Pelodiscus sinensis: one gene and its partners. The protein of the gene in region 2 interacts with the protein of the main gene of each other region in a biochemical or structural test. Links are inferred from orthologs where the notes say so. Each region holds a gene or a part of one and is shown on either strand. Other genes may lie near its edges.

What was found.
Region 1: the proteins of UBE2M (region 2) and DCUN1D3 form a complex in vitro, tested with the Homo sapiens proteins (4 studies listed by BioGRID and IntAct). The link is inferred for Pelodiscus sinensis from reciprocal best matches to the Homo sapiens genes UBE2M and DCUN1D3.
Region 3: the proteins of UBE2M (region 2) and DCUN1D4 form a complex in vitro, tested with the Homo sapiens proteins (3 studies listed by BioGRID). The link is inferred for Pelodiscus sinensis from reciprocal best matches to the Homo sapiens genes UBE2M and DCUN1D4.
Region 4: the proteins of UBE2M (region 2) and SMURF1 form a complex in vitro, tested with the Homo sapiens proteins (2 studies listed by BioGRID). The link is inferred for Pelodiscus sinensis from reciprocal best matches to the Homo sapiens genes UBE2M and SMURF1.

Annotation. Positions count from the first base shown.
Region 1 is NC_134726.1:22,096,613-22,103,684, reverse strand, and holds the start of DCUN1D3 (DCN1-like protein 3), read left to right. Parts: upstream 1-4,056; 5' UTR 4,057-4,170; intron 4,171-4,206; exon of another isoform or gene 4,207-5,074; intron 5,075-7,072. UniProt on the Homo sapiens protein: Contributes to the neddylation of all cullins by transferring NEDD8 from N-terminally acetylated NEDD8-conjugating E2s enzyme to different cullin C-terminal domain-RBX complexes and may play a role in the cell cycle progression by regulating the SCF ubiquitin E3 ligase complex, after UV damage.
Region 2 is NW_027465849.1:2,663,809-2,671,308, forward strand, and holds the start of UBE2M (NEDD8-conjugating enzyme Ubc12), read right to left. Parts: upstream 3,016-7,500; 5' UTR 2,778-3,015; coding exon 2,669-2,777; intron 1-2,668.
Region 3 is NC_134715.1:86,848,798-86,855,648, reverse strand, and holds the start of DCUN1D4 (DCN1-like protein 4), read left to right. Parts: upstream 1-3,841; 5' UTR 3,842-4,007; coding exon 4,008-4,032; intron 4,033-4,067; exon of another isoform or gene 4,068-4,584; intron 4,585-6,851. UniProt on the Homo sapiens protein: Contributes to the neddylation of all cullins by transferring NEDD8 from N-terminally acetylated NEDD8-conjugating E2s enzyme to different cullin C-terminal domain-RBX complexes which are necessary for the activation of cullin-RING E3 ubiquitin ligases (CRLs).
Region 4 is NC_134726.1:31,801,303-31,808,979, reverse strand, and holds the start of SMURF1 (E3 ubiquitin-protein ligase SMURF1), read left to right. Parts: upstream 1-4,674; 5' UTR 4,675-4,826; coding exon 4,827-4,881; intron 4,882-7,677. UniProt on the Homo sapiens protein: E3 ubiquitin-protein ligase that acts as a negative regulator of BMP signaling pathway. Mediates ubiquitination and degradation of SMAD1 and SMAD5, 2 receptor-regulated SMADs specific for the BMP pathway.

The DNA of each region.
Region 1 (7,072 bases), on a different chromosome or scaffold from region 2:
TCCTGCCCCTCTATTAGAGGCAGCAGCCCCTGTCTGTGGGGCGGTAGGAAGGAGGGGGCAAAGCTCCCCACAAATAGAGGCTGCTGCTGCAGAAGCTTCCCATCCCTCCCTCCCTCATCCCATTAGAGGCAGTAGCGCAGGGCAGGAAGATGGCAACAGCTCCTGCCTCCCTTCCTCTGCCCCACACTGCCTCTGTAGGAGGCAGCAAGGGGGGGACAGGCACATATGTGAAGCAGGCTCACATGGAGAGCTGCTTATAAGCTGACTCCCTGCACATATTGGTTCCTGCCTGCTCCCCTCATCCTCTGTGCTGCTGCCTCTCTATTAGAGGCAGCAGCATGGCAGGGAGGGGAGAGACACTGGCTCCCACCTCCCCTCCTCTCTAATATAGAGGCAGCAGATGGGGGAAATGCATGTAGTCAAACCTGGGCTTCTTGGTTAATCCTGTTATCAGTTAATCGTGTAGTAATCTACACGTTGACATCCCTACTATCAACATATACCTAGGATTTTAAGAAAAGTAGAATTTTAATAAGGGAAAATAGAAACATTACCAATCGATCTCTTCTACATCCTTTTTAACTTGGATGCTCATTAATACTGCACAAACTTGATTAGGTGCTGACACCATATTTGTTTGACAGGGGAATAAAACTCTGTAGGGAACAGTTTAAAACAGCAACTGTGATGCAATCAAATATAATGTTGACACTGAAGTGCAGCATAGCTCCTCTTTCACATCATCAGCTATTTGACTGTTTGCTACTGGCAAGGAGTTCTGAATAGGATACATTATTTGACAATGCCTATTATGAAAATAACTTATTTCAACCACCTATACAATACTATTTCTATCCAGTTTGAATGCAATAGTGTGTTGTACCACTGTAATTCTAATACCATTCTTGGGCTATTGCTCACTACAATGCTTGCATTTTATATCAAGCTTTTTTTATTTTAGAGAACACTGATAACACTTAGCTAACACAGAGCCAGTTTCTCTCCAGCTGGCAAATGTGACATGAAATCATTCACTCAGTTTCACAGCTATCCATAGTAACTAAGTCACTCAAACAAATCCATCCCTGGTGTAAGCATATTGAAATGAAGATCCTGGATTTATATAAGGATTGAACTGGGCTCATAATTTCCATAAGGGTCAACAGCTGCAAAAGCTGGCTCCTGTGAGGTGGTGTCATGAGGAGAGATCAAGGATTCTTGGGATGGCTAAAAAGATGACATTCTCCAATTATATTAAAATCTTAGAATCCAACATTCACTTCCTACGTTCCATCTCACACAAATTAAACAGATTTAGCGCCTCCCCTCCAATTTTTTGCATTATGAACACTGTAGAATAGCTACACTGCAAATGACTGCATCAGTTAGGTATACACAATACATTTAGCTGGCAACTCGCATGGATTTTCACTTTTGAAAGGTCTTACTCCTTCAGCTGTGGATACAATTTTTTGCTTTGTTAACCTCCAAATCTATAGTAAAATTCAAAGCTGCCAAGAATAGTGAAAGACCACTTAGCAAAATAAAGTGAAAATGAAATAAAACCAAAGGCCTAAATCCACCCCTACTGTAATCCCATTTTTTTTTTTATCAATGGTATAACTCTGTTGACTTCAGTGGAGTTACTCCAGAGATGAAATGACCCAAAAGTTTATCACTGTTTCTATCTACAATCATAAATGTGTGCTTTTTCAGTAAAAGTAGCCCAAGAAACCAGTCTGTAATGAAAGTTGGAACAAGGGGAGTTTTGCCTGGTTTCGAATTCTGTTACAGAAGTTTCAGCTTTAAAACAACTGTTAACCCAGTTGGTACTCAACACCTCTGAGCTACTCACACACTCAATGCACTTGGAATTCCCATTGACTTTAGTGGGAATTCTAAGGGGTAAGTGAAGAGAGGGCCACATGCAACATTGAGTCCTCCAAGATCAAACTTTTGTTTCTTTAATTTTCATTTAAGTATTGAGTAAAGTATCGACCAGAAAGTATAATGAATACTGAAAGCAAGAAGACAGTTCAATTTGTAAATCAATGGCTTAGATTTTATCACTGGCTTTCCATATAAGTTCATTCACATGGAAAGAACCAAGAACTGATTCTCCACACATGTGGCAGTAACCACATTGTGACATGGCTTTGATGCAGCATTACATGTGAATAAATGGAAAAGATCTAGTCCATGGCTAATTCTATACAGTAAAATAGTTTTGAGTTTGCTAGCACAGGATTGTGAATGCTTTGCCTAGTTTAAGCAGCACATATGGTCCTGCATCCTAACTTACGTTTTCTAATAATAAGTGAAAGACTGAAGAGTAAAATCCTTATTTGGGCTATTATAAGGGAAGGACTCTTATTGCTTCAAATATTTCTTAACCCTCTCTGGACACTGAAAACATTCAATGACCATAAGCAGTCAAGGCCAATATTGATTTAACTTTGCTACCAATACAAAAAGAGCATAGGCTTGTTTTCTGGACTGTTAATATTTTCCTCCTCTCCTACTCTGTTTGGGTCTTCATGCTCAGAGAAGAGAGTTTTAATGTTGTGTGGCAAATTTAGCCCAGGTAATAAAATCTCAACTTTCTTATACAATAGAGGCATCTACAAATATGATGTTAACATGAAGTATGGATTTTGCACCTTATTTGCTTCTTGGCTCTAAGCCAAATGCAACTGAACACATGAAAAAAAATAATGTAGATTTCCCAACACTGGAACAGTTCCTAAACACAAGAATAGGTATAAATATTAATGCAGTACAGCAAGGCATAGGGCTGTTTTTAACTTTGTGGCTCATTTTAGTAAGTGAGATTCTGTCATGCTCTACCTCCTCTCCCATCCCTCACTGTTGGTTTTCAAAATGTTTCATTCCACATGCAATCACGTGCTCTAGAGACTACTGTTGGCTCATGGCCCACAATAAAAGAGCCACAGCACTTGAGAATGTTTTAAAAGATTAAATATATGCATTCAATTCTAATGTTTCAAAGGGGGAGGGGGATTCCCACTTTCATTTTCACGGAAGAGCAGAGCTGGCCCAAGAACTACTTTCTGGGACCCTGACTGGAAGTATGACTCAGTGGTAGGGCTGCCAGATGGTTTCAACAAAAATACCAGACACGCTTGTCATTGCTTCTTATTTAGAAAATACCGGACATTTACATTTTCTCAATTTGTTTCCCGGAACAGAAAGCTCAAATACTGGACTGTCTGGTTCAAAACCGGACACCTGGCAGCCCTACATGGGTGTAGGTGTATCCAGGCCGGGAAGTTGCCCGCAGGGGATGTGCTGAGGGCCGCAGCCGGGACCAAAGAGGAAAAGGAGGCCCTGTGTAGTGTGGGGACCCTCCAGGGGCAAGCGCCCAGGTTCACAGGGTGGGACCACGAGCCCTGGGCTGGGACGAATCCCCAGGGGGATGTTCGCGGGAAGCCTGCCCGTGGCTGCAGGAGCCCTGCGTTGCCAGGATGGGAGTCTCTAAGCACCGGGTGCTCGCTGCCCCGGGGACCCGCTGGCAGGCGAGGGGCCCGCTCTGCGGTGAGGGGCGCGGCGCGGGACTGCTCGGAGCTCGCGGGGCGGCTGCCCAACTTTCCTGGCTGCGGGGGGGGGGGGGGAACCTGCAGCAGCGAGCAGGGCCGGAGCGAGCCCTTGATGTGACACTTGCAAAGAGGCGGCGCCCAGCCCTGCGCCAGGGCGGCCCCCTCAGCGCCCCCGGACGGTCAGGGCAGCACCGCCACCACCGGCTACTCGCCTACAAGCTGGACTGTACCAATGTGAGAGCCGGGGGAGGTGGCAACACGAGTCCTCCAAATCCCAGTTTAGGTCATCTTTGCATACCAACATCGACCTCTTTCCCCTCTATCTGCCTCTCCCTCTTTACCTTCAGGGCCAAGCGCCCTACAGCCCTCCTCACAGTTTCCCCCCTTTCCTTGCGTAATGGTTCGCTCCAACCTACTCCAGTCGCCACTCAACCCGGTTGGGGGCGGGAGCGGTTTCTTGCCCGCTTTTTCCCTCACTGTACGTGCAGCGTCGGGCACGCCGGGACGCTCTTCTGCGTGACGACGCCTCACGCATCCAGCTGACGCTTCACCCCCGGAAGTGATGCAGAGGAGGGAGGGGGTCGAAGCTGAGTCTGGTTGGGAGCTGCCGAGGGTGAGTGAATTGGACCTTCTCACTTCCCGTCCGTTTCAGGGAGGCTTTGCCTGTGCTGGGCTGTGGGGGGCCAGGAGGGGTAGGGGGGCCGTGTAGGGAGATAATAGGGCTGGGAAAAAGCATCATCCTAAGTGCCCCGGCTCATAAACCAGACTCTCCAGCCCCTGCGTGGGGGGGAGGGTCTTTGCCCCCTGAGGGGGAGGCTGTGGGGTCCCTGCCCCCCGAGAGAGAGAGCGGGAGGAAGCTGCGGGGTCTCTGTGCCGCTTACGGGGTGCTGGTGGGGCGGAGTGTATCCGCATCTCTTAAAGGATGGACCGGGCTGGTGGGGAGGGTCCTATGTCCATCCCTTTGCCGTCTGAGTGGGTGGAGGGTTACAGGGTTCTCTACCCTGAAGCTCCTCTAACAGGTACTCACGCTACTGCCCTGATAACAAGTAGTTCCTCCGCATACCGTACCCCCGCCACGCACCTCTCTCAGCGGTATGGGTGCAGCGGTTTCAGGGTTAGACTTTAAACAGACGCTTCCTCTGGAACTGTTGGAAGTTATCGGAGTCAGCAGTGAAAGAAGAGATCGTGTGGTATTTATGTTAGATAAAGGGTGGGAGGATTTAGTTTTGTGGTGTTGTAATGTAACATTTCACTCCAATGTGCTTTTTCATCTTTTATGTATATGATTCTCCTACTATTTGAGCAGCGTAAAAGAAGCATAGTTCTCTAGCCCCAAGAGGATTACTGATTAAGTCATCGTATCTGTATCTGTGGAAATGATGATATTATGTTGGTAGTTCTATGTTCAAGGATGCTAAAATGTCTTTCTATAAATTATCCACATCATTAATGAACAATAACCAACCACCTAGAGTGAAGGGTGGCTGCCAGCTGGCTCATAAACACACACTAGAAAGGTATTCTTTTAAACATATTTTGCAATCATCTAATGCTAAATGATGTGTGTATATACATCTTCATAGTGTATGTTAGAAAGTACATGTGGGTGAAGTTAGTCTTCTTTTCATTATTTGAAAATGCTGACCTAACCCATGCAGGTTTTTAGTATTCCATATATATCACGTGTGTATTTAAATTAATCATGGAAGCTGCAAATGTGTCCCAATCACTCCTATTGTTTAGGTTATGTAGACACTGTTATAAGTAATATTAATAACAATGTTGGAGTAACTTGTGTAAACGATGTTGAAGCAAACATTAGTTGAAAAGACCGTTTCTTTCCTATTACTATTATTGAAAGGAATACTTTGGGTTTCTTTATATAATATAGCTAAAACTATTAATGCTATGTTTTATAAAACAAATGGGTACCTATGGCAACATAGCTGTTTTGCAGAATATTCTTCTAAATTAATTATTCTCCCTTTAGGGTATGGTGTAAGTTGTAACAAAAGTGAAAATTGCCAATGAGTTACCATATTGCAATACTCGATATTTTGCTCTTAAGTAAGAACTTCAGGTTAAGCCAGTACTATTGAAGAGAATGGTCAGATGAGGAAAATGGTCAGGTGATGTCTATTTTCTAAATATAACTTTCTAGTATCTAGTTTAGAATCTCCATGTTAAACATTTAATACATTGTTAGTAGTTGTTAATATTTGACGTGGGCTAATGTTGAACGTTTGTGCACCTTAACTCTAATAAAGGCTTTGCTGGGTGTCTGATCACTCACTTTCCAGGTACTTAAGAATAGTGGAAGGATGGTCTCTTGGCTAACTCATAGAGCTGAGAGTCATGAGATCTGATCTTGGCTCTGTTTTTGTTTTGTTTTTTTAAACTCAAGTGTACTGTAAGGCTTAAGTAATGGTCTGTGAAGAGCATTTATAATTCTTCAGATGAAAGGCAACATGCAGTAGGCAACTACATATCGGTATCATAGGGGGAAAAGAGTTACAAAGACAGTACAGTTCTTCATTTGTGTTGACAGACACAATCTAATTCCAGTGCAAATAATGTTAGAAACTTGTTGGAAAGTTCAAGTTATGCAGTATTTTTTTATTCTAATAATTTATTCATAGTTAATATTGAGTTAGAGCTCAACCTTCGTAAGTTTGTTTAAAGATGCTGGGATAGTAGGGGTATATGTGTATCAGTAAGGGTATGTCTACGCAGCAGCGTTATTTCAGAATAACTGACATTATTTTGGAATAACAAAGTGTGTCTACACTGCAAGCCATTATTTGAAATAATGGCAAGCTGGAGGACTTCTTATTCCAACTCCTGTAACCCTCATTTTATGAGGAGTAAGGGAAGTTGAAGGAAGAGTGTTCTTCCTTAGACTTCCTGCTGTGTAAACCGTGCCAAAAGCCGATTTAAGTTATTTCGACTTCTGCTACATCAATTGCATAGCTTAAGTTGCATAGCTTAATTCAACTTTAGCCCTGCTGTGTAGATGTACCCTAATATTCCTTGATAGCTCAACTTGATGCTCTTGTGATTCCTTTACTCTTGAGCCTGATAACCTATATGATCTCTAATTTGCCACTAGATCCCAGAAATGGGGGGGTTGGAGGCCTATAGAGTGCAGGTATTTAGCATTAGCTCTTAGTTAAGTGTTATTCCTGATAAACTTGGCTGATGTGTTCAGTCTGTGATAGTAGCAGTAGTTTTTATATCATTGGATTTTTGTATAGATTTTTTTTTTAAACAAATTTTTCTAACAGCACTTTGGTGCTGTGACTTTAAGCACTTAACATGAAGAAGGGCAACAATATCAGTAACAGGGAAAGAGGGTGGTTTCGATAACAAAATCTAGGGCAGCTACTTCTGTAAGCCTGGGAGGGGGAAGAAGATTACTTACTGTCCAAAGGATAGAGGCTGCCAGACTATTTGGCAGGCTGAAATACAAACGACATCCCCACACCTATTCTCACCTCTCTTCTGTATATGTCAGT
Region 2 (7,500 bases):
GTGGGATGGGAGAAGGAATACTCCCTGGAGATATGGGAATGAGGGAGGGGCCGGCCAGTGGGGCAGGACTCTAGATGGCAGTACACTTAAGACAAGCAGGGGTCTCCTGGCGCTCCACAGTGCGGGAGCCTGAAAGCATGAGTGGGAGGGGGGTCTCCTGAAGTTTCTCCAGCAGGGAGCCCCCCAATCTGCAGGGGGTGTCTCCTGGAGTTTCCCCAATGGGAGGGGGCGTCAATTTCTATAGGTGTGTCTTGGAGAGGCTGTATGAACCTTCAGTGGGGAAGGGTGCAGGTCCCGTTGGGGAAGACCTCCATGGGGGGTGGCACCCAGGAGGGAAGTGGAGCTAAAGCCCTAGTGAGGGTGAATGAGCAGGAAGCCCCTGAAGGGGAGGAAAAATGCCCCATTCCTGCAGGGGCATCTCAAGTACCTGTGTGGGGAAGGGGGGCTCAAAGGGATTCTCTAAAGGGCAGGAGAACATGGGGGTCTGCATCAACAAAGAGGGAACTTCCCGACTGCACTCCCCCCATTGGGAGGGGTCTGTGGGGTCCAAGTGGGGGCATCCTCCCAGTGAATGGGAGGCGTCTCTTCCCACCAATGCAGACTGTGGGCACAGAGCGGAGGAAGGAGGCTGGCATCTGCCTGGGCCAGGTGGTGCCTTATCGCAAAGGTGGGGGCTCCATGGGTCGCCCCAGGCTTTGAGCAGCTGGTAATTTTCAGAGAGGGGCTTCCCTTGAGTCTCGGCAGGTCTCGGTCCTAGCACTACGCACAGGCAGCACCGATCGGGGGTTAGCTGGTTATACTGTTCCGAGCCCATCCTGGTCACACCAGAGGATGGTTCTGGGTGGATGGTGCTGGAGGAACGTGGACCAGGTGGCACCAGTGAACTGGATTTACACAACAGTGGGACTGGGTGGCACCACACTGGGTGGATAGAGAATTTGGGCCAGATGGGGAGGGGCAAAACACTGCAACTTGTGGTACCAAGATTTGGGCCTCAGCAGACAGCACCAGGCAGGGTCAGAGCATCTGGGTTGGCCCAGCTACCAATGAGGTTCTGATCTGGGCCATACCAAAATGGGGTGGGGATCTAGGCCGGGCAGTACCAATGAGGGTCTGATCTCTGTGGTACCAGGGTGGCAGGGATGTAGGCTGGGCTGTACCCATAAGGATCTCGGTGGTACTGGAGTGGGATCTGGTCTGGGCGGTACCATTATGGGAAGGGATCTAGGCCCAGGGTCTGGTCTGGGTGGCACTGAGCTGGGGAGGATCGATGCCGGACGGTACCAATCAGGGTCTGGTCAGTACCAGAGTGCAGAGGGTCTCAGCTGGGTGATACCAATCAACATTTGGACCAGGTCAGCCAATACCAGACTAGGAGAGAGGGGCCTGGGCTAGACCAATGGTACCAGGAGATCGAGACCAGCATCTGGACTGGGCCGAGGAAAGGGGGGAACTTAGGTGAGGCCAGTAGGCGGAAGGGGGCGGGCCAGGCGGTACCAGGCAGTGGGGCAAGGGGCTAAGCCAGGGAGTACCAGGCTGGGAAGCATCTGGGGATGGTATCGGGCACAGGCGGGGGTTAGACTGAAGAGGGGAGAGGGTCGGGCTGGGTGGTGCCAGGCTGGGGAGGGTTAGGGCAGGAGGTACCAGGCCGGCGTGGGGGAAGGCGCTAAGCGGAGCGGCACCAGGCCTGGCCAGGGGATTGGGCCAGAGGAGGCGGAAGGTACCAGACCAGGGGGAGGAGTTGGGCCAGGCCAGAGGAGCGGGATTGGGAAGTGCCGGGCCAGTGGCAAAGGAGTGGGCCGGTACCGGGCTGGGGGGGGGGAACCCGAGCAGTACCGAGCCAGGGGGGGAGGGGCGATACCAGACTGGGGGAGTACCGAGGTGGGAAGGGCTGGGCGGTACCGGTCTGGTGGGGGGGGGGGCCGATACTGGGCCGGGGGAGGGTACTGAGGGAGGAGGAGCTGTGCGATACCGGGCCAGGGGGGTACCATGGGGGGAGGGGCTGGGCAGTACCGGTCTGGGGGGGGACGGACGGACGGAGGGTACCGAGGGGGGAGGGGCCGGGCAGTACCGGGCCGGTGGGGAGGGGCGATACCGGTCCGGGGGGTACCGAGGGGGGAGGGGCCGGGCAGTACCGGGCCGGTGGGGAGGGGCGATACCGGTCCGGGGGGTACCGAGGGGGGAGGGGCCGGGCGGTACCGGGCGGGGAGGAGCGGTACCGGTCCAGTGAGGGGGGGAGGGGCGGGCGGTACCAGGCCGGTGGGGGGAGGTTCGGGGAGGGGGGGGGCCGGGGGGAGGGGCGGTACCGGGCCGGTGGGGGGAGGTTCCCGGGGGGGAGGGGCGGTACCGGGCCGGTGGGGGGAGGTTCCCGGGGGGGAGGGGCGGTACCGGGCCGGTGGGGGGGAGGTTCCGGGGGGGAGGGGCGGTACCGGGCCGGTGGGGGGGAGGTTCCGGGGGGGGAGGGGCGGTACCGGGCCGGGGGGGGAGGTTCCGGGGGGGGAGGGGCGGTACCGGGCCGGGGGGGGTGGTTCCGGGGGGGGAGGGGCGGTACCGGGCAGGGGGGGGGTCGGGGGGGCGGGGCGGTACCGGGCGGGGGGGGGTCGGGGGCGGCGGGGGGGGGGCGGTACCGGGCCGGGGGGGGGCCGGGGGGGGGTTGGGGGGGCGGTACCTTTCTGGATGCGGAGCTGCGCGGCCGACGCCTTCTTGCTGCTGCCCTTGGTGCCGCCGGCCGACTCCTCCTCCTTCTTCTGCTGCTTGAGCGAGAACAGCTTGATCATCCTGCCGGGCGGCCGGGCCGAGGGGCCGGGCCCGGGGGCGGGGCTCGGCGCGGCCTGTGCGGGTCCCGGCGCCGGGCCGGGTCAGTCGCTCGCTGCGGCCGGGCCCGGGGGAAGCGGAGCGGGGCCGCCCAGGCTGCTGCCGCTGCGGGTGCGCGTCGGCAACGGCCGGCCCGCTCGGCTCCTTCCGGAAGGGATTCGGCCCTTTCCGGAAGCGCTTCGGCGGCGCCCCTCGCCGGCGGATTGGACCGCGCCGCTTTCCGTCCCGGCGCGTGGCCCCGCCCGCTCCCAGCCTCGGCCCTTTCCGCCGCACGCTCGGCATGTGACGTCAGACGTCCGCTGCCGCCCAGCCAGGGCTCGGCCCTTTCCGCCCAGCGCTCGGCTCGTGGCGTCACGCCGCTCGGCCCCGCCCACCCAGCGCTCGGCTCTTTCCGCCCGACGCTCGCCTCCTTGGTGCGGGAAAGACCAAGCGTTCCAAAGGACTGGGGGAGGGTCGGGTATGGCGCAGGGCGGAAGTCCACCGGCCGCCATCTTTACTGAGGGCAGAATGACTTCCGGCCTGTGGTTTGGAAGGGTTGTCAGCGCCTCTGGGAGAGGAATTTGTAAGATTCCCCCTCCCCAGGGCCCACACATGCCTCAGCCCCAGGTTGCTGGACATACACCCCCATAGCTTCTGTCTTGGGGGGGAGACTGGGCTCTTCTGCCCACCATACCACCAAGGCCGAGGTCAAAGGTCACCGAACTCACGCCAACTGGCCAGACCCACGTGACTGCCTGGTGTCACATTCTGGTGGCATTGTCAATTAGAATGGAACAGCATTATCTCCATGGTGACCAGACGTCCCCCGTTCTTAAAGGGACAGTCCCTTTAACTCCCCTTCTAAGTGCCCCAACTTCTCGTTAAAAATGGGCATATTTTCTGTCTCCTCCTCATTACTGGCCAATATTCCCTCTAATTTTTTCCATCCACGTGCAGAATAAATTTTGTTACGTGCACCAAGGCTCCTTCTGGTGCAAAAGCCTCTTCTGCAAAAATGGTGGCTCATTAGCTATGCAAATGAGGCTCCACAATATTCCATGCTTAGCCTCATTTGCATATTACTCATGCAAGACGCCGCTAGTGTAGACATAGCCCTCGTATTTTAACAGTTTGTAAAGTGTTAAGTTTTTGACTCTCAGCCTCTACTGATGTTATATAATTGTCTGACCCCCCACCCCACCATTATTTCCTGCAACTCTGAACATTTAAAGAAATACAAATCTATAACCAGTTTAAAAGAAATATGGATCTTTAGCGAAACTGTCACAAAAATAAACAAATGGTCAAAGCCCCCACTAGTAGCTCATCTTGCATGCCACCTCTTAGGCCACCGATCCATAAGGATTTAAGACCAGTTGCTTCCGAGTTGTTAGTGACTCAGAAAGAAGTTTTGCTGTTTATCAAATTCCTTCCCCCTTGTAATCCTTCTTCCATAACCACTGCTTTTTAACATGCCACTCACTAGAATCCTCCCGCCAGGTTCCAGTGTCCAGCTGGTGAGGCGCAGAATTTCTGGTTTATTTCTGGGTCTGTTTTTTGTTGCTCTAGAGCAATGTCTCTTCAACTTTTTGAGACCACGGAACACCAAACAATAGTATTTTGTATGCACATTTTCTTCAAAAAAAAATGGTTGTCAGACAAAAAAAAGACAAACACAAAGAAGTAACAAAAACAAAGAAGAGGTGGCGGTACACCTGTGAGTTATTCACAAAATACCAGTGTTCCAGGGAACATAGTTTAAGAAACACTGATCTAGAGGGGTCTCCTACCTTTTTAAGCATGAGAGCACTTTTTGAATTTAAGTGCAATCCAGGATCCACCTCAAACCCAAACACTCTTGCCCCGCCTCCTTCCTGCCCCTTCTCCAAGGTCCTGCCCCTGCCCACTCCATCCTCCCTCCCTCTCTTTTATCAGGCTGGGGTGCAAGGGTGTGGTCTCTGATCTTGGGCTAACGGATTTGGAGTGTAGGGGGGGTTCTGAGCTGAGCCTGGGGCAGGGAGTTGGGGTGCAGGATATGGGAGGGAGTTTGGGTCCAAGGGGACTCAGGGCTAGGGCAGAGGTTTGGGGTGCAGGAGGGGTTCAGGACTGGGCCCAAGGTTTGGAATGCAGACTCCAGCTGGGCACCGCTTACCACAGGTGGCTGCTGGGTGGTGGCGCAGGGGCCTAAGGGTGGTTCACCCCTCCCCTGGCCCTGCACCATTCCCAAAAGCAGCCAGCAAACTCTCTCCATCCCTGCCCCCCTGTGCTCTGTGGAGATGTTGACATCAGCATCCCCCCTCCTCTTCTTCTTGTGCCTTGCACAGCAAGCAAGAGGCTCCCAAGCCTGTGGGGAAGCCCCAAGGCAGAGAGCAGGAGCAGCACAGATGCCAGCACTTAACAGCCTCCCAACCAAACCTGTCAGGATCACTTGTCAAAGGCTCCAAGATCTACCAGTAGATCCCGATCTACTGGTTGGTGACCACTGATCTAGAGCACTGGATAAGTCAGACACTTGGGTGCACCCCAGAGAGGTGCATCTCCCCTGCCCTGGTTTTCCTGAAAGTGGTTAGCTGAGACAGCATCTGATTTGGTTTTAGGCTGTTTGACCCCTTGGATTGTTTTTCTTCATTTAACTCAAATGCCAGAGCCACATTAGGGAGAAAAGATATCTCGGTTGATTGTTCTTTGTAAAGCTGTAATCTCCAGATCCCCAGGCTCCTTGGCTGAAGGACTAAGAAAATATTTGCTTCTGTGGTTTTTCCAGGGAAGGCTTCAAGCAAAGCAAGGAAGAAAATACCCGACTACCCTGATATTCCCTGTGTAAAAAACAGTTGCTCACTGTGGTAACTATTGTTTTTTGAGATACGTTGCTTGTATCCAGTGGTTTTTTGTTGTTTTTTTTTTGTAAGAAAAAAGATGCTGGTCCTCTAGGCTTAAAGTTGTTGAGCAAAAAAAAAAAACGCACCGGGGCCAAAATGTGGTTTATCTCTGGCGTTTCCTTCTCCCATCCCAATCTGATCTCCCAGCCAGTCTGCTCAGCTCTCCCTCACTGGGGCCCTGATCTCCAGTCTCAGGCACGGTCCAAGGTATCCCATTCCTGGCCCCTTGAGTGCGCCCCCGTTCAGCCTGATTCCTCTGCTGTGTGGCCCCCATGTTCCAGCTCCCTTGTGACTTGCAGGGACCGGCTACATCGAGGCCAGCATCAGGGTCTCCCGTTGTGGCAACCCCCGCAAGCAGGCGTGTGCATCGAGGGAGGGCAATCTTGCACAGTGACACCCATGGGGGATTCTAAACTGGGTGCTGTGTCTCCCCCATGCCTTATGCAAACTGGCTTATGAATACAAATATGCATCACTCTAAGACACTTTAGACAAAATGTCACGTGTCAACTACCCATTTTAATGTTACAATCCCTGGAGTGTATTTATCCTGTTTTGGTGCATGTATCGTTCTTGTCTGTGAAGTCAGGCTCTGTTTATAATGCTAATGAGGCCATTACTGATGCCCCAGAAATTTTAATTGTGATCAAATCAACGACCTATGAATAGTCTTAAAACATAAGAATGGCCATACTTGGTCACACCAATCATCCATCTAGCCCCAGATTCTGTCTTCTGACAGTGGCCAATGCCAGGTGCCCCAGAGGGAATGAACAGAAGAGGAAACCCTCAAGTGATCCCTCCCCTGTCACCCGTTCCCAGGGTCTGACAAACAGAGGCCAGGGACACGATTCCTACCCATCCTGGCTAATAAGCACTGATGGACCTATCCTCCATGAATTTATCTAGTGCTTTTTTGAACCCTGATGAAGTCTTGGCCTTCAAAACATCCTCCAGCAAGGAGTTCCACAGGTTGACTATGTGTTTTGTGAAGAAATACTTCCTTTTGTTTGACTTGTTTGTCCTGTAAGTCCAAACCTCGGTTGGTCCTAGAAAGCTCTGAAAAGCTGTAGAAGACCCAAGCCAGGTAAACACCAACTCCAACTTGAAGCTCTTTACTTGAGATAAGAACAACTGTTTAAGGTAAAAAATTGCATGTAACAAGTTCCTTAGCAAGTTTCTTACTAGCTAACCAGTTTTTGTCCATTTTAATTTAGTAATGTACTTTGATCTATTTTCACTTGCAACCACTTAAAGCCTATTTTTTTATACTTAACAAAAACACTTGTTAATTACCAAGCTCAATGTAACTAATTGTTACCTGGAGGGAAGCAACCACTGTGCATCTCTCTCTTTCATTGATAAAAAAGGCTGATCTTATGAGCTTTCTCTGTATAAAACCTGTACAAAATCAGACAGATCTTTTTGGGGGGGAGGGATTGGCCCCTTTTGCAAGTTGGTTTTCTGGGAGGTGAGCCCTTACAACTGAGCACTCCTGAATTCTGTGCCTGTCTTGCTCTGCAGGGCAGGTGGTAACCCCAACTTTGTTCCTTGCCTAGGGAAGACCAGAATTTCTGGCTCAGCACAACAGGGTGGTGGAGAGCCCCAGAGGCCAGGAAGGTGGGTGTCAGTGTGTCACAGTTTAATTCCCCAACCAGGCACTTTGAGTGTAGATAATGGGGGCTGGCTAGTAAAATAAAACCACTGTCAGATCCTGACTCTGCAGTTCCCAGAGACAAAAAGAGTCTTCCTGATTTCAGTTTCCCCTGAAATCCATTCTGTATTGCCAGCACCAAGTGGCCAAATCTTTTTCCAGGGAAGAAATTGC
Region 3 (6,851 bases), on a different chromosome or scaffold from region 2:
AAATAAAACTTAATCTGTATTGCATGTGCAACTTTATCTACTGTTTTGTGAGCCAGGGTGTGCACCTGAGGTGAGGATCTTGTGAGAAACTTAGTGTATGATTGTGTAATTAAAGGTTATATCATAATGCATATACACAAGGGACCAAAATTAAGATTGCATGGTCAATCAGAAATCTGGTGTTTCCTCCCTTTTGTGTCTGCTATAAACTAATTTTTCTGTAACATAGATTTTTTCTTAATTTCCTAAGAATTTTTCACCCAAATACTTTTATGGTAGAGGCAGTTCCCCCTCCCTCCATAGCTCGCTTACATCCAGAACCTCCAGTATTGTGGCTGCCTTCTTCCACTTGAGCTACAGGACTGACTACATTAGCTGGTAGCAGAAAGCTGTTACGCCACTTGCATCATGTACTGGGAGTTTAGATGGGCGGCAGGCATTTGGACTGCTGGCTGCCTTTCTCTCCCCTCCTCCATGCCTAGAAATGGGAAACTCCTTCCCTATATGTTGCCCTTGGGATGGCAGGAATATACTTCTAGATCCATGTGTTGGAATTTAGTTAGAAGAATGGAAGAGCAATCCTGGCTGTTTTGTCGGTTTTCAGGTATTCCTGATACACTACTTATGCCTGCTTTGCAATTTGCCTGATTTTTTAGCATGTTTGGGGGTTGTGGTGAGGGTATCATTTTGGTAAGCTGCCAGAATTTTCTCACAGAATACATCAGGAAAAGGAAAATTGAGATTTTTGACAGTTTATAAGTCAACTAAATCTGAATGATGTTTCATGAGACAAATGAAAGGCATTCCTCTAGCCCAGAAGCGGGCAATAATTTTTTGCCGGGGGCCACTTTGGAAATTTTTGAAGTGGCCCTGGGCTGCACAGGAAGGGGCAGGGCATTGAGCGGAAGGGGTAGGGCATTGAGTGGAAGGGACGGGGCCAAGATATTTCTGTGTTCCCCACCCCCAGACAATTATTGGTCTGGTGGTGAGAGAGTGCCTTTGCCCCTACCCCACGTTCCCCCAAGGTGCCCATGCCCCTGGCGTGGGAGGAGACTTCTCTTGCTCCTCTGCCTCTAGGCCAATTAGGACCTGGGGGCGGGGGAGCGTGCAAAGCCTCCTCTGCTTTCCCTCATGCCCTGCGAACAGCGCACAGTGCTTCAAAGCGCTGTGCGCTCCTAGTAGGACAGGAAGAGGCTTCGTGAGCTCCCCCATTCCAAGGCTCTAATTGGCCTGGGGGCGGGGGAGCAGCAAAGTCCCGCGGGCTGGATCCACCCGGTTGGCGGGTCAGATCTGGCCCGTGGAGGCTCTTTTGCCCACTCCTGCTGTAACCCAAGGACTTCCTTCCCTGACATATTTCATATACTTATTGTGTTAGAGTACCAGAGGGCTAGCCATGTTAGGGCATGCCTACACTGGGAAATTATTTCAAAATAACTAAATTTGAAATAACTCCTGAAATAACTATTTCCAAATAAGCTTATTCCCAAGGAAAGTAGGAGCACAGATTTCAAAATAACCAGCCTGTTATTTCAAAATAACAGGGTTGGTAGTGTGGATGCTCCACTTATTATTTTGAAAGATGGGGAGGGAGGTTATTTCAAAATAACTCCCTAGTGTAGGCCAGGGCTAAGTCTGTATCCGCAAAAACAATGAGGAATCCTGTGGTATCTTAACAGTTTTATTTGGGCATAAGCTTTAGTGGACAAAAACCATATCCATGCATCTGACCAAGTGGATTTTTGCTCACAAAAGCTTAAGCCCAAATAAATCTATTAAGGTCAAGATACCATAGGACTCATTTTTACTATTAGATTTATTATAAAAACACACACACACACACACACACAAAAGAAAACTAATCCAAAACAACCCACTGTCAACAAAAAAGCTACAATTGTATTATATAAGGAAATATTGTATACAGGAAGTTCTTCAAGCAGGAATGTCTCTTCTCCCTCTAAAAAGCAGAGACTAACAGGATAGCATCTCCTGCAGATGACACCCAAGGGAACTACGCAGTTCAATTTGTAGAACTGGCCCTATCTAGAATCTTCTATCTCATATGGACTTGTGTACATATAGACCACTGCAGTTTATCAAAGACACTTACCTCCACCTTCCTAGTGCTGGGTACATAAAGGATTTGCTGGATATAACTGCACTGCTCAGGAGTGTAGATTAAAGATGGTCTCTTTAATAATGTTGACCTATAGATTACTAGGATTACAGATGTGGCTAAATAATTCAAGGAGATACATTTATTGCAGTACTTCAAATTTTATTTTACATCTGAAAATTTGGCTTGCTTAATGTGCTATTTGACCAAAAGTCAGCTCTGGCTTGCAGATGTGCGGGTTGTTCAGTCTTCAGGTCCATTTAGTGTTATGTGTCTCTGATATTATAACTAGCAATCTTGCTGGCAGTAGTATAGCTACTGTTCTATCCACCAGACACTTACTTTAGATAAAACTCATCACTCTTGTGTTGGGACCAGTCATGCTCTGGCTCTTCATTTATTTCCAGATACTTTATTGGTATGACAATAAGTATTGCCAGAGTGGAAAGGACAGATTTCTATCAGACATATGTACAATAACTCACCTCATCTAGCCCAAGACAGGACTTCATAGTGGGGTCTTGCCTCCTAAGTTTATATGCCATTCTTGAGCATGCCTGCTGTATGGATGCAAAGTCAAGAATAACAAATGAACAACCTTCCCCTGCACTGGTCCTGTCTTCTTGCTTTTTTCTCAGGCAGTGGAATTGTTCTTTGCAGTTCTTTTTTGGAATTATCGGACATAAAACTTTAATTGAGTGTTAAAGCCTTCATTCTGTTCTCAATTATAGCTTCTGCCCTCTATTGTTCTTCATTATTTTTTTTTCCCAATTGCTAAATATCAAGTTGTTGAGTGTTTGGTCTATGATAAATTTACTCTCATGTCACAAGTAGTAACTTTTTGAAGCATCAGCTAGTTCTAGGTTGACCATATTTCCAAAAGAGAAAACAGGCCTCCCCAGCTGTTCTTGAGAAGCACTCCCTTCTCCCCTCCTGAGGGTGTCATGGAATCCTGCCTGTGGGGGGAATTTGAGGATCCCGCCCTCAGGAAACTGTTGCCTTTTCTGGAACTATGGCCTTCCCCCATGCTGAACCACTGTCTTCCCAGCTGTACCTCCCCCCTGAATCGGAACTGGCACCTTCCCCATGTTCCTCTAAACCCCACTTTGCCACTTTTTTTTAAACAAAAGTGGGTATTTATCCTGTTTGCTCTCACTAGCTCAGCACGCCATTGAGAGAAAAAGGACAAACATCTCCCTTTGAGAAAAAAAGCTGGGACTTTTAAAAGGGGCCATGTGGTCATCCCAGCAAGTTCTGCTGTCCCAGCCCATCCTTTGCCTCTGCAGCTACAATGAAAGCCTGTTCTTCCCTTGCAGCCTTTCCCTGGGCTGCAGGGAGATCGGTTCTCAACAACCTCTCGCAAAAAATCTGCGCGCAGCGCCCCGCGGGGCCAGGCTAGGTGTGAAAAGCTCCGTGGCCCACTCCACATCCCCCGCCCGCCTACCCCGCCCCATTGCTCCAGCCCCACCCACTGAGAGCCGCTAGTCAGAACTCCGTTCTCGTTAACCAATCAAAACAGGCCATGGGCGTGGTCCAACCCTTCAGGACCAATAAGCTTCCCGGGAGACACAAAGTAGTGTTCTTTGCACGCGCTTTCAGAGCCTGGAATAATAGACGTAAGCAAGACCGAATCAATATGTCGGGGAGGCGGTGCTCGTTGAGACCTTTAACCAATAAGAGGAAGGAGGTAGGCGGGCCGAGCAGTGTGGGCCCGGCAGAGGAAGAATGACGGGCGCGTGCCCTAATGGCGCAGTGAGGCGGGCGTTAGTCACGCGAGCCCGAGCCAATGGCGTGCACGTGTGGGCGGGGCAGGAGGGCTCGTGCCTTGGCTCTGTGATTGGGAGACAGAGACAGAGGGAGCCCGGCCGGGCGGTGTGTGCGCTGCACGAAAATGCACTCGGATGCCGCCGCTGTCAGTGAGTAGCGGCTGGGCCGGGCTTCCCGCCGCGAGCAGGCTCAGGGGTCTCCCGCAGCCCGTCCTAGGGGCTCTGCCCGGTGCCCGAGGCGGGAAGCCTGCGGGACGAGGGCGGCGTGGGGCCTGTGGGGGCATTTGCGGGGATATCTGGCGGGGCGCCCTGCACCCCGGAGCCGCAGCGGGATCGGCCGGGGAGGTTAGTGGGGACCCCGCGGGTGCCGCGGGCGCTGACAGAGCCTGTGACGCAGTTTCTCCAGTCGCGCACAGGAGCCTCGAGTCCGGCGCCGGCCCCGCAGGGTCCCTCTCTGGACCCAGGTGTGTGGGGTGGAGAGCCCAGCGCGCGCCGCCTTGCGGCACGTTCCCCCTCGGGTAACTTAACGGGTTTCGTGTCAGCCCGGTGCGGGAGAAAGGGGCTGCGAAGGGGAACGAGCCCGGTGCATTGTGGGAGCGGGAGTCTCTCCTGCTGCACAACGCTGATGGGCTCAGCGCCGGCGGGGACTACAACTCCCGGCGTGCAACGCGCTCCAACTCGCTGCCCTCTCTCCCAGCTTGGGTAAGTGCGAGTTGCCGCCTGGGGCTCCGCTCGGGGGTCGGTCTAGGCACCTTGCGCGGGGAGCGCCGCCAGGGACGTGTTCCCCGCAGGGATGTGGGAGACCAGGGCAGAGTTATCTCGGGAAGAAATAGCTCTGTTGGGGTAGGAGGCAGGAGGGCAGCGTGTGACCAGCGTGCTGCCCTTTGCGGGAAGGGGGAGTGTTGATTGGGGTTTGCCCCTGAGGGGCGACGCTCCCTGGGGTAGTAGAGTACAGGGGTGCCAAGTGCAGGCAGGGCTTTGGTTTGCCCATACAGGTGGGGGGGGGGAAGCAGGGTTGCAGAGCACAGCTAGGCATGACCATACCACTACTGTCCCCCATGAAATATGTATAGTATGTGGTGAAAGCACACAGAAGGCCAGATTTCATGGTCCATGGTGTATATTGCATGGCTGTGAAGCTGATAGTGAAATAACCAATTGATAGGACCCTATCTGTTTCTTACTCCCATGTAGAGTTAGGAAGAGGGGGCTCCTGAAGAACCATTTTTCTGTGCACTGGGTTATCCCATGAATCTGCCAAAGAGATCTCAAGGCAACTTGCTTGGAGGTATTCTTCAGTCCCCTAAGGAGGACTGCCTTGCTTCTTCCACCTCTATAGGACACTTTCCCATGCCTCTTTGCAATTACTCCAGCAGAAACTATTCTTCCACATAGGTTAATAGCATATGGGCTTGATCTGCCGCTGAAGACATTCAGGAGCAGTTCCTCTTCATCCTCTGTTACCCCTGGGAGTGAGAGAGCAGTTCAAATCACTACTGCCTGTGGAAGATGGCCCCAGTGGACAGTGTATGGCTCCATGAGCCATGGGAGTAAGGGCTAGGCTGAGTCTCCTAGGATCACATGTCAGTGTCCCCAGTGGTAATAATCTGGTCAGGAAAAAGAGTCCCTGCTTGTAGCTTTCTTAACAGGCCTGTGTTCTAAAAGATGTGTGCATCATGCATCTTCCCTAAGTAGCCTGTGTTGATCTTAGTAAAACATCCACCAGTGCTTTCAGGAGTAGCCTTGTTAATGTACTTCTGTGGCAAGGTGGTCTGGTGCCAAAATAAGAATATGCATGCCAGCTATTACCCTACTGTAGTTGAGAAACCCCATTGCTGCAAAACTATCTATGTCCATCATACAGTCCTTTGTATCAGGATGCGATTAATGATTCTACGTGCTTGTCATAGCAACCTATATGGTGGATTTCCTAACTCCAGATTGTTACCAATCAGTCAAGAATCAATCTGGTGTTGGAAGTCTTTGACACACCAAAAAAAGTTGGCTTCCAAACAAGTATATACAATAATTACTGTGGTTGCTGTACATTAACTTAGATCAGCTTAATTTTGCATGGTAGGCTTGCCCTCTGTAATATAAAACAGTGAGATCTGGTTCTGATCAAGATTGTAAATAAGAGTAAACATGAAGGGGGGGGGAATTAAAAAAAAAGGGAATATCAGTTGGTTACATAGTTTAAGTATAAACAATAGATATGGCAGTTAATCTGTTTATCAAGTTTTATGCAATACTTCCAACTTGATGGCTATTAAAGAGAGTTCATGTAGAGTTGTCTCACACACCCAGGTAAGCATTCCAAAATTTTGTTTTTTTTCTATTACTAATGTATTGTACTGTTGATTGATAGTAAATCAGAAATGTGTGCCATGGTTATGATTCTGTTCTAGCTTCGTGTATGGTATTTCTCATTTACTCAGTTTTGTCACGCTAATTCATTTAGTCCTTAAATTTTCTGATCTATTTAAACCCAGACATGACTTTTTATTGGAAGCCCACTTGAAATAAACCTGTTTGTATTTCAGGCAAGTGCATGTGGGTAATGCTCTCAGCTATTGTTTGCATTTGGATAGATTAAATTTTCAGTGAGAACTGAAACTTAAGCCACGTTTGCAGGAAATTGGTTCAGATTTAAAGCTGAACATTAAAAGTTGGAAATTTAATAAATTCACATAATTTTGCTATGTTTTAAAATCCATTCAGCCTTTTTGGTTGGTTTTTATGCACTGAGTTGCTCAGTGACTTTGACTGTAACCTGTTTCTTTTAGAAACATGCCAAATATATTGCAGGTTCTTTTGCTTTTTGACCCTGATTGTCATAATTGCTGAAGGGCATTTTGTAAACACTATATATTGTTTCTCCCTATCTTGGTTCTGTAGATTTTTGGTTTTGTTTACATCACGGATGATCGTGACTAATTGACCTGCCCAAGCCAAATTTGTCATCACTT
Region 4 (7,677 bases), on a different chromosome or scaffold from region 2:
GTCCAGTGAAGTTGCTGACGGATGATCATTGTTTTGATACAGGTAGTCTTTGCCTCTTACAGAACACTGATGTTAGTGCACCTGTTTTCCCATTTGATCTTCAAGCTCTTGTAGAGGCAGCATTGGTGATACCTCTTAAGGACTTACAAGTGTACCTTGTCCAGGTTTTTGACCCATACCATAGTGTTGGCAAAATGATGGCTTGATAGACAAGAAGTTTGGTGTCTTGTTTGAATATCGTGATCTTCAAAAACCCTGTGCCATAAATGAGCAAAGGCTACACTGGCATAGCTCAGACGATGTTGAATTTCTACACCAATATCTTCCTTGAATGAAAGATAACTTCCAAGGCAGAGAAAATGATCAACATTCTCCAGTGCCTCTCCATTGATTTTAATAGATAGGGCAGAGGGTACCTCATTTGAAGAGGGCTGATGGAGCACTTTGGTCTTCTTGATGTTGAAGGCAAGACCAAGACATGCATAAGCATCAGCAAACATGCTCAAGATAGCGGAGATCTTTCTCAGAGGGGGCAAAAACTGCATTGTCATCAGCAGGGCTTGACAAACCACGGCGAGAGCTACTTGCCAGCCCCTCACTGCGCGTGCGTGCGGTGTCAGTAAATGGGGCGCACAGAGCAACCAGTTGAAATTTACTCACCACAGGGCAAGTAGAATCAGCAGTTTCTTGAGCCCTGGTCATCAGCATACTGAAGTTCCACAATAGACGTGGTGGCAATTTTACTCTTTTTTTCAGCCTGCTAAGCCTAAACAGCTTTTCATCAATTCTGTAGATGATTTTAATGGCAGCTGGGAGCTTCCCAGCAATTAGGAAAAAATGACAGCAATAAAGACCTGTTTGACTCCTGTTTGTACTTTGAAAGATTCACTCTGGGAGCCAGTGCTGCTTAGAACAGTCACTTTTACGAAGAAACTTTAGAACATGGATGTATTTATCAGGACATCCAGTCTTTGAAAGTACAGTCCAAAACGCATGGCGAATCACTGAGTCAAAGGCTTTAGTAAGAGCAATAAAAGCAATGTTTTGCTTCCAATACTTTTTTTGCAGCTGCCATGCAATGAAGATTATATCTGCAGTTCTGCGACTCAGTCAGAAACCACTCTATGACTCTGATAAAATTTCTTCTGACAGGTTGCAAGGACCCATGCCAGAATTTTGCCTGCAACAGCAAGGAGAAAGATACCACAAGAGTTTCCACAGTGCATACTATTCCCTTTCTTAAAGAGGGTAACAATCAAGGCATCACTCATTTCACTGGATATCACTTCTTTTATCCAGATTTTAAGGATAAGCTGGCTAAGATGCCGAATTAACTCTGGTCCACTGTCTTTAAAGATTTCGGCAGGGATCAGCCATCTGCACCTGCTGCCTTGTTGTTCTTCATTTGCTTGATGGCATTATATACCTCATACAAACTGGGAGGGTCTCTGAGCTCATTCCTAGAACGTAGTTGGGGGATTTGCTCAAGAACTTGATCTGAAACCATGGAGTTACGATTAAGAAGATCTTCAAAATGTTCTTTCCAATGAAAATTAATGACTTCATTGTCCTGCAAAAGTGCGGTTCCATTCTTAAAGAGAAGGGGATTCATGTCATGACAAGCTGGCCCATAAACAGCCTTAGGGTATGTCTACACTACCCCGCTAGTTCGAACTAGCGGGGTAATGTATGCATACCGCACTTGCTAATGAAGCCCGGGATTTGAATTTCCCGGGCTTCATTAGCATAAGCGGGGAGCCGCCATTTTTAAATCCCCGCTGCTTCGAACCCCGTGTAGCGCGGCTACACGGGGCTCGAACTAGGTAGTTCGGACTAGGGTCCTATTCCGAACTACCGGTACTCCTCATGAAACGAGGTGTACCGGTAGTTCGGAATAGGCACCCTAGTCCGAACTACCTAGTTCGAGCCCCGTGTAGCCGCGCTACACGGGGTTCGAAGCAGCGGGGATTTAAAAATGGCGGCTCCCCGCTTATGCTAATGAAGCCCGGGAAATTCAAATCCCGGGCTTCATTAGCAAGTGCGGTATGCATACATTACCCTCCTAGTTCGAACTAGGAGGGTAGTGTAGACATACCCTCAGTGTAAAGAAACCACGTGTATGTTGGAATTCTTGCATTTTCTCAGTCCGCCATTTGTTCTTGAGGTCTCTGATTTTACATTGGACTTCCTCCCTCATCTTAGCATGGGCTTCTCTCTTGAACTGCAATTTATATCATTCTCTTCTCATTGATGAGTTGCTCGATTTCAACATCATTCTCATCAAACCAGTCCTGATGCTGTCTGGTGTGGTTGCCTATGGTTTCTGCACAGCTATTGATGATTGCTGCTTTCAGCTGGCTCTAATGTTCCTCAGTTTCTTTCAGAAACTCTGATGGAAGCTTTTCTTCTTAGACTGCTTGGAAGTGGTCACGCTTAATGGGGTCCTTCAGATCTTGAATCTTCAGCTTGTGCCTCATCTGCTTCTTTTGCAGTCTCTGTTTGGGGACGATCTTAATTTTCATTGTGGATCAAATGAGGCGATGATCAGTTCAGCAGTCATTAGCATTTGTCATTGCTCTTGTGAGAAGTACGTTACTGTGATCCTGAGCACAAAGTAAGACATAGTTCAGAAAATGCCAGAGCTTTGAATGTGGGTGTCTCCAAACTGTTTTGAACTTGTCCTTTTGTCAAAAAAGGATATTTGTGATGATAAATTCGTGTTCTGCACACTTGGTCAGGAGCAGGATTCCATTTGAGTTCTTTTTGCCAACTTCTTTCCCGGTTGTTCCTTTCCACAGGTCTGAGTCTCGTCCAACATGTGCATTAAAATCCCCTGGGAGAATGATCTTACCTTCTTTAGGGGGTCTCTGATAAAATGTTTCCTGTTGAGAGTAGAAATCTTCCTTTACATCCTCATCAGCATCCATTGTTGAAACATAGGTGCTCACAATAGTTACCTGTTGGTTTTTGGTGAGCCCTCAGTTAGACTGTCATAAGCTCCTCATTGATGCCTACTGGCAGCTCAGAGATGCATCTTACAAGCTTGGTTTTTATAGCAAAGCCTACTCCATGCAATTGAGGTTCAGCTAAATATTTTCCCTCCAGAAGTAGATGTATTCTTTCTCCTCCCTCGCCTGTCCTTCACCAGCTCTTATAATTTTGGAAAAGGCAGCAATATCGATGTTAAACGGATTAAATTCACAAGCAATGATAGCTGTATGTTGCTCTAGTCGGTGCACTGTCTGAGTTGTCCACCAGGGTTCCAAAATTGAAAAGTTTCTTATATTTTTGACCACTAGAGTGGTAATCCTGCAGCTATCCAGTCAGGAGGGAAAAAGGCAAGACTATTTTTAGTGCACTTTTCTAGCCCTCTCCCTATGTGGGGTGAGCAGAATGAGTCTTAAAGAGGACTGCTCAGTCATAGGTGCAGCTGCCAAAATGCTCAACTTGCCTCTGTCCTCGAGCAAGAGGACAGAGTCGCACACCCACCGCCTGTGTGTCGATCTGTGACTAGGAACTTCTGGATCTCACTGTCCTGTTCTGATCGCCATTCGCTGATCGCCACTGGACTTTTGACTTGGTGCAGGTGTTGTTTTCCCACAAACTGGAAGATGCCAGTGTGGGACTTTTTTTTAAAGTGGGGAGACTGGTGCACAACAGTCATCACACTTTCCTTGACAGGGAGAGGTCTTGAAAACAATGGCACGGAGACCACCTTTTGGAGGTCTTCTATCTGCTGCTGCCTTCATCCACCTACCCAGCCGCTGTAACATTACACAACAGTTTCAACTCCATTGTGCAGTTATCCTCCGTCACCTCTGCCGTTGAAGACATCTTGGCTCACATGTTGTCTGGAACCTTGTTCTTTCTGTCATGGGTGATCCTAAGGGAGTACATGACTCCAGGCAGGGTCACTTTCGGGGGGTCACTGGAACATGCAAGCATCTCCACCACTACAAGGTGATGATCCATGGTGAGGAAGCAAGAATCATACCTGTAGGCCAGCAATTCACCCTTAAAAATACTCCCTTTCGCTTGTTTTATACCAGCTGCCTATTAAACGATCTATATCAGAGGTAACAGCCAAGCACCTCTTCACTGAAGGACAACAAGCCCAGCTAAAGATGACTACAGGGGGCCCAGTGAACATTGAACCCATAGCCTTTGCTTTACATAGTCCCTGCTCTAACCACTGAGCCCTACCTCAAACTAAGCCCTAGGCAATGGAGGGAGGGACACATGGAGTCCAGCGACTCAGTCCCAGGTGACAATGCCATGAACAGTACAATGTGGCTCAATGCCAGAGGACCCATGATGTGTGACCATGGGGGTGCAGGGCCGGGGACAGGAGGATGGGGCACTTGCTGCGCAGCCACAGCGGGCAGGGCGCAGCGCAGGCCTCAGTTTCCCTGTGGCCACCCTGAAGTTTCATCCCGGGGAAGAACCAACCTGCTCGCCTCTGGCTGCACTATTCATGCCCTCCGCGAGGGGGCGCTGCCCGTCCCGGGCCGGGCGCCGCCCGGCGACCTCCCCAAGATGGCGGCGGACTCAGGCCGCCGCGCTTTGCGTCACGCCGTCTTCTCGCGCAGGGAGGCGCGAGCCTGCGGTTGGGGGCGGCGCGTGCGCGCAGTCCTCGTCCGGGTCGGGCTGGGCGTCGAGCTCGCGAGCGGCGGCGGCTGAGACGCTGTGGCGGGGCCGCTGTGTGGGGCGGCGGCAGGAGCGGGGCAGCCCAGGCCGGGGCGGGGAGGGGCAGGGCCCGGATGGGGGTGACTGTGGAGGGCGGCTGATTTCTCTCCCCTCCCCCCCGCCCTTCTTCGCGGGGAGCGATGTCGAATCCAGGGACCCGAAGAAACGGCTCCAGCATCAAAATCCGGCTCACAGGTAGCGGAGGGGGGCGGGGCTTTCCCCCCGCGCGCGCCCACGCCTGGGCGGGGGGGGGGGGGGGGGTTGAGGCGCTGCGCACGGCAGAGAGGGGCTGGGTGGGCACGAGAGAGGGGCCAGGCCCCCCGCCCCCTGCGGGGTGCGCGGGACCGGTGGGGAGCGCAGGGGCGGGGGGGGGGGGCGTAGGATCTGGGGGGCTGGCCAAGGGTCGGCGCTCCTGGGGGCGGGGGCCCGGAAGGAGATGGGGATCAGAGCCCGAGGGGGGGGCTGGGTTTGTCTCCCTTCCCTAGTGGGGGGGCGGGGAGAGTGTTTGGGGGCTCGGTGGGGGCTCCCAACTCCGCAGCCCATGGGAGGCTCCGCCAAGGTGATTCTCTTCTCGGGCTGCAGCTGGGACCGAGGTCCTGGGGGCGCGAGGCTGTAGAGGGTCTTCTGCCTTCCCCCAGGGGGAAACATTGCGGCTGGGTTAAAGGCTTTTATCTCTGTGGTGTCGTTTTTGAGGAGGCTGCAGCTTGTTGAAATCCACAGTAATTCTAGGGGCTGAGTTAGAGAGAGCTGGGTAAAGTTGAGAATTTTTCTTTCCTTTTTCTCTTCCGCTTTATTTCTATCCAGACCCTGTTTCTTAGCAATCGTCCTTCAATTCTCACCACTTCCTCCTGCAGATTTCCTTACCCCACAATCTAGCATTTGTATTTCTTAAGCTTCTTTCTCCTGTTCCTGTTGTTTTTTTTTCCCAGTTGGGGTTGTCAAATGGGTGGTACATGAAGTCAGAAGTCCAGACACCACTGAACTGCTTTTTTGGCATTTTTCTTAAATCAGCTTTACGTGTCTCCCATTGTGTTTTGCATTTGCACGTTATTGGTCCCTTAACCCATGCATATGAGTGTCCTGGTGTATGCATGCCATAGGGCAATGGACAGCTCCTGCTAGGGAGTATCCCTCTTTGGCAGTCTCCAAATGTCCTGCCCGTTCATAGCATCTTTCCTCTCCGCTCCCCCCTTAAAAAAGTCTGGTTTTGCTAGATCTATTTAGAGAATTTATGTTTTCTGCATGTCAGTTTTTCTAGTGGTAAATCTGTCCCTGTCTTAATAGTTTATATTTTGTTAGCCCTGATTAATAATGAATTTGCTTTTTTCTGCAATGGCAAGGTTCACTTGCTGGAAAATATACATAAGGAAATAAATCAACTACCTGTTTGATCTCTTTCAGGCACTGTCATCTAATGTGCTTTCCTTAAGTAAATCACATAGTGCACTTTAAAATTTGTTTGGTCACAAGATGTGGTGGGTATATTATACCCTTACACGTTAAATATTGTTATACCCTTAAGGAGCTGAATTAAATATTTTATAAAGGCATTGGCATCTTTTCTTTAAGAGAAATATGTGATTTCTATTTCTAAAATTACATCATGACCTACTGATGAATAAGGTCTAGTCCAGGTTGTGAAAGGCAACAGGTGTATCCACTATAGGCTCTCTTAGACTGAAACAACCATAATGCTATTGTACTGCATGAATTTAACATAATTTTTTTTGCTGGGATATAAAATATCATAGATTGATAAGAATATAGCACTAGGTAAATTTTAATGATAAACCTAATTTGGTTCTTAGTTACAATGCAATCAATCATAAAAACCTGCAGTCAGCCAGCATTAAAACTCATTTTCTTTTATAAAGTGCAGAGAGGGGATGTAAAAAGATGAAAAAAAAAACCCCCACAAAATGTGTGACAGATCAAAATTCTATTGGTTACACGGTTAACCATGGAGTAACTGGCTCCTAGCCCCACAGCACAGTGGGCCCAGCCAGACCCACTCCAGCTCAGCTAGGCACCAGTTAACGGGTTACTGGCCAGCATCACCCAATAATTACTGCATTCCAAAGGATAATTCTTACTGGGTAACTGGTTACCCATGTATGTCCCTAGTGCAGAGCTAGCTGATCTCAAATAATAATTCTAGGAAACAGGGTGATCAAATATATGTTTCAGAGGGGAAATATATATAGTTTAGGGGTTTTTTTGGATCTCCTCTCCTAGTAGTTTAGAATTTAGGCTTTGTGAGTTTTTTAAGAAAGATAAAATAAGCTTTCATGAAACTAAAGAAAAGTTTAAAATGTTTAAAATACATAAGTATTTGATAGTTTTATATGTGTATATGATAAATACATGCTCACAGATTTATTAATGATTGTTTCTAAAAACAAATGTGGAATATTTCTATTGATTTCAGAAGGAGCTGAGGATTGTTGTGTAAGACACACAATACTGTCCATAATCTCAGTAAAAATTATTCTGAGCAGATATTATGAATTTTGCATTTTTTAAACAAATACTGTATCAAGTAGCTTGTAACTTGCATGAATTGACCTTCATAATTCAAAGCATTTGGAGGGATGCTACATGTTTTGTTAATAGAATAACTTCTGTGACTTGTTTGAGTGTAAAACCCTTTAAACTATATGGAGGGAATTTCCCACCTGGTCAATAATACTTTCAGTTTTATTAATAAATAACCCAGACAGTGGGTTAAAATGTGTGGGTTTTATTCTAAAAATTACTTTTGGAGCTTTGTCTCTTCAGTACTATTAACAAACATGTTACTACTTGTTTCATTTGAAACTTGTTTGTGGATGCATCAGATTTGAATAACTATAACTATAGCTATTATGCCTTTTGTTACTATATTCTACTTTGTTGTTGAGATACTTGAGCTGAATCAAAACAAAAAGGACATCTGTTTACATCATGTTGCTTTGTGACTTGCAATTTGTTTTCCTATGATTATGAACTACT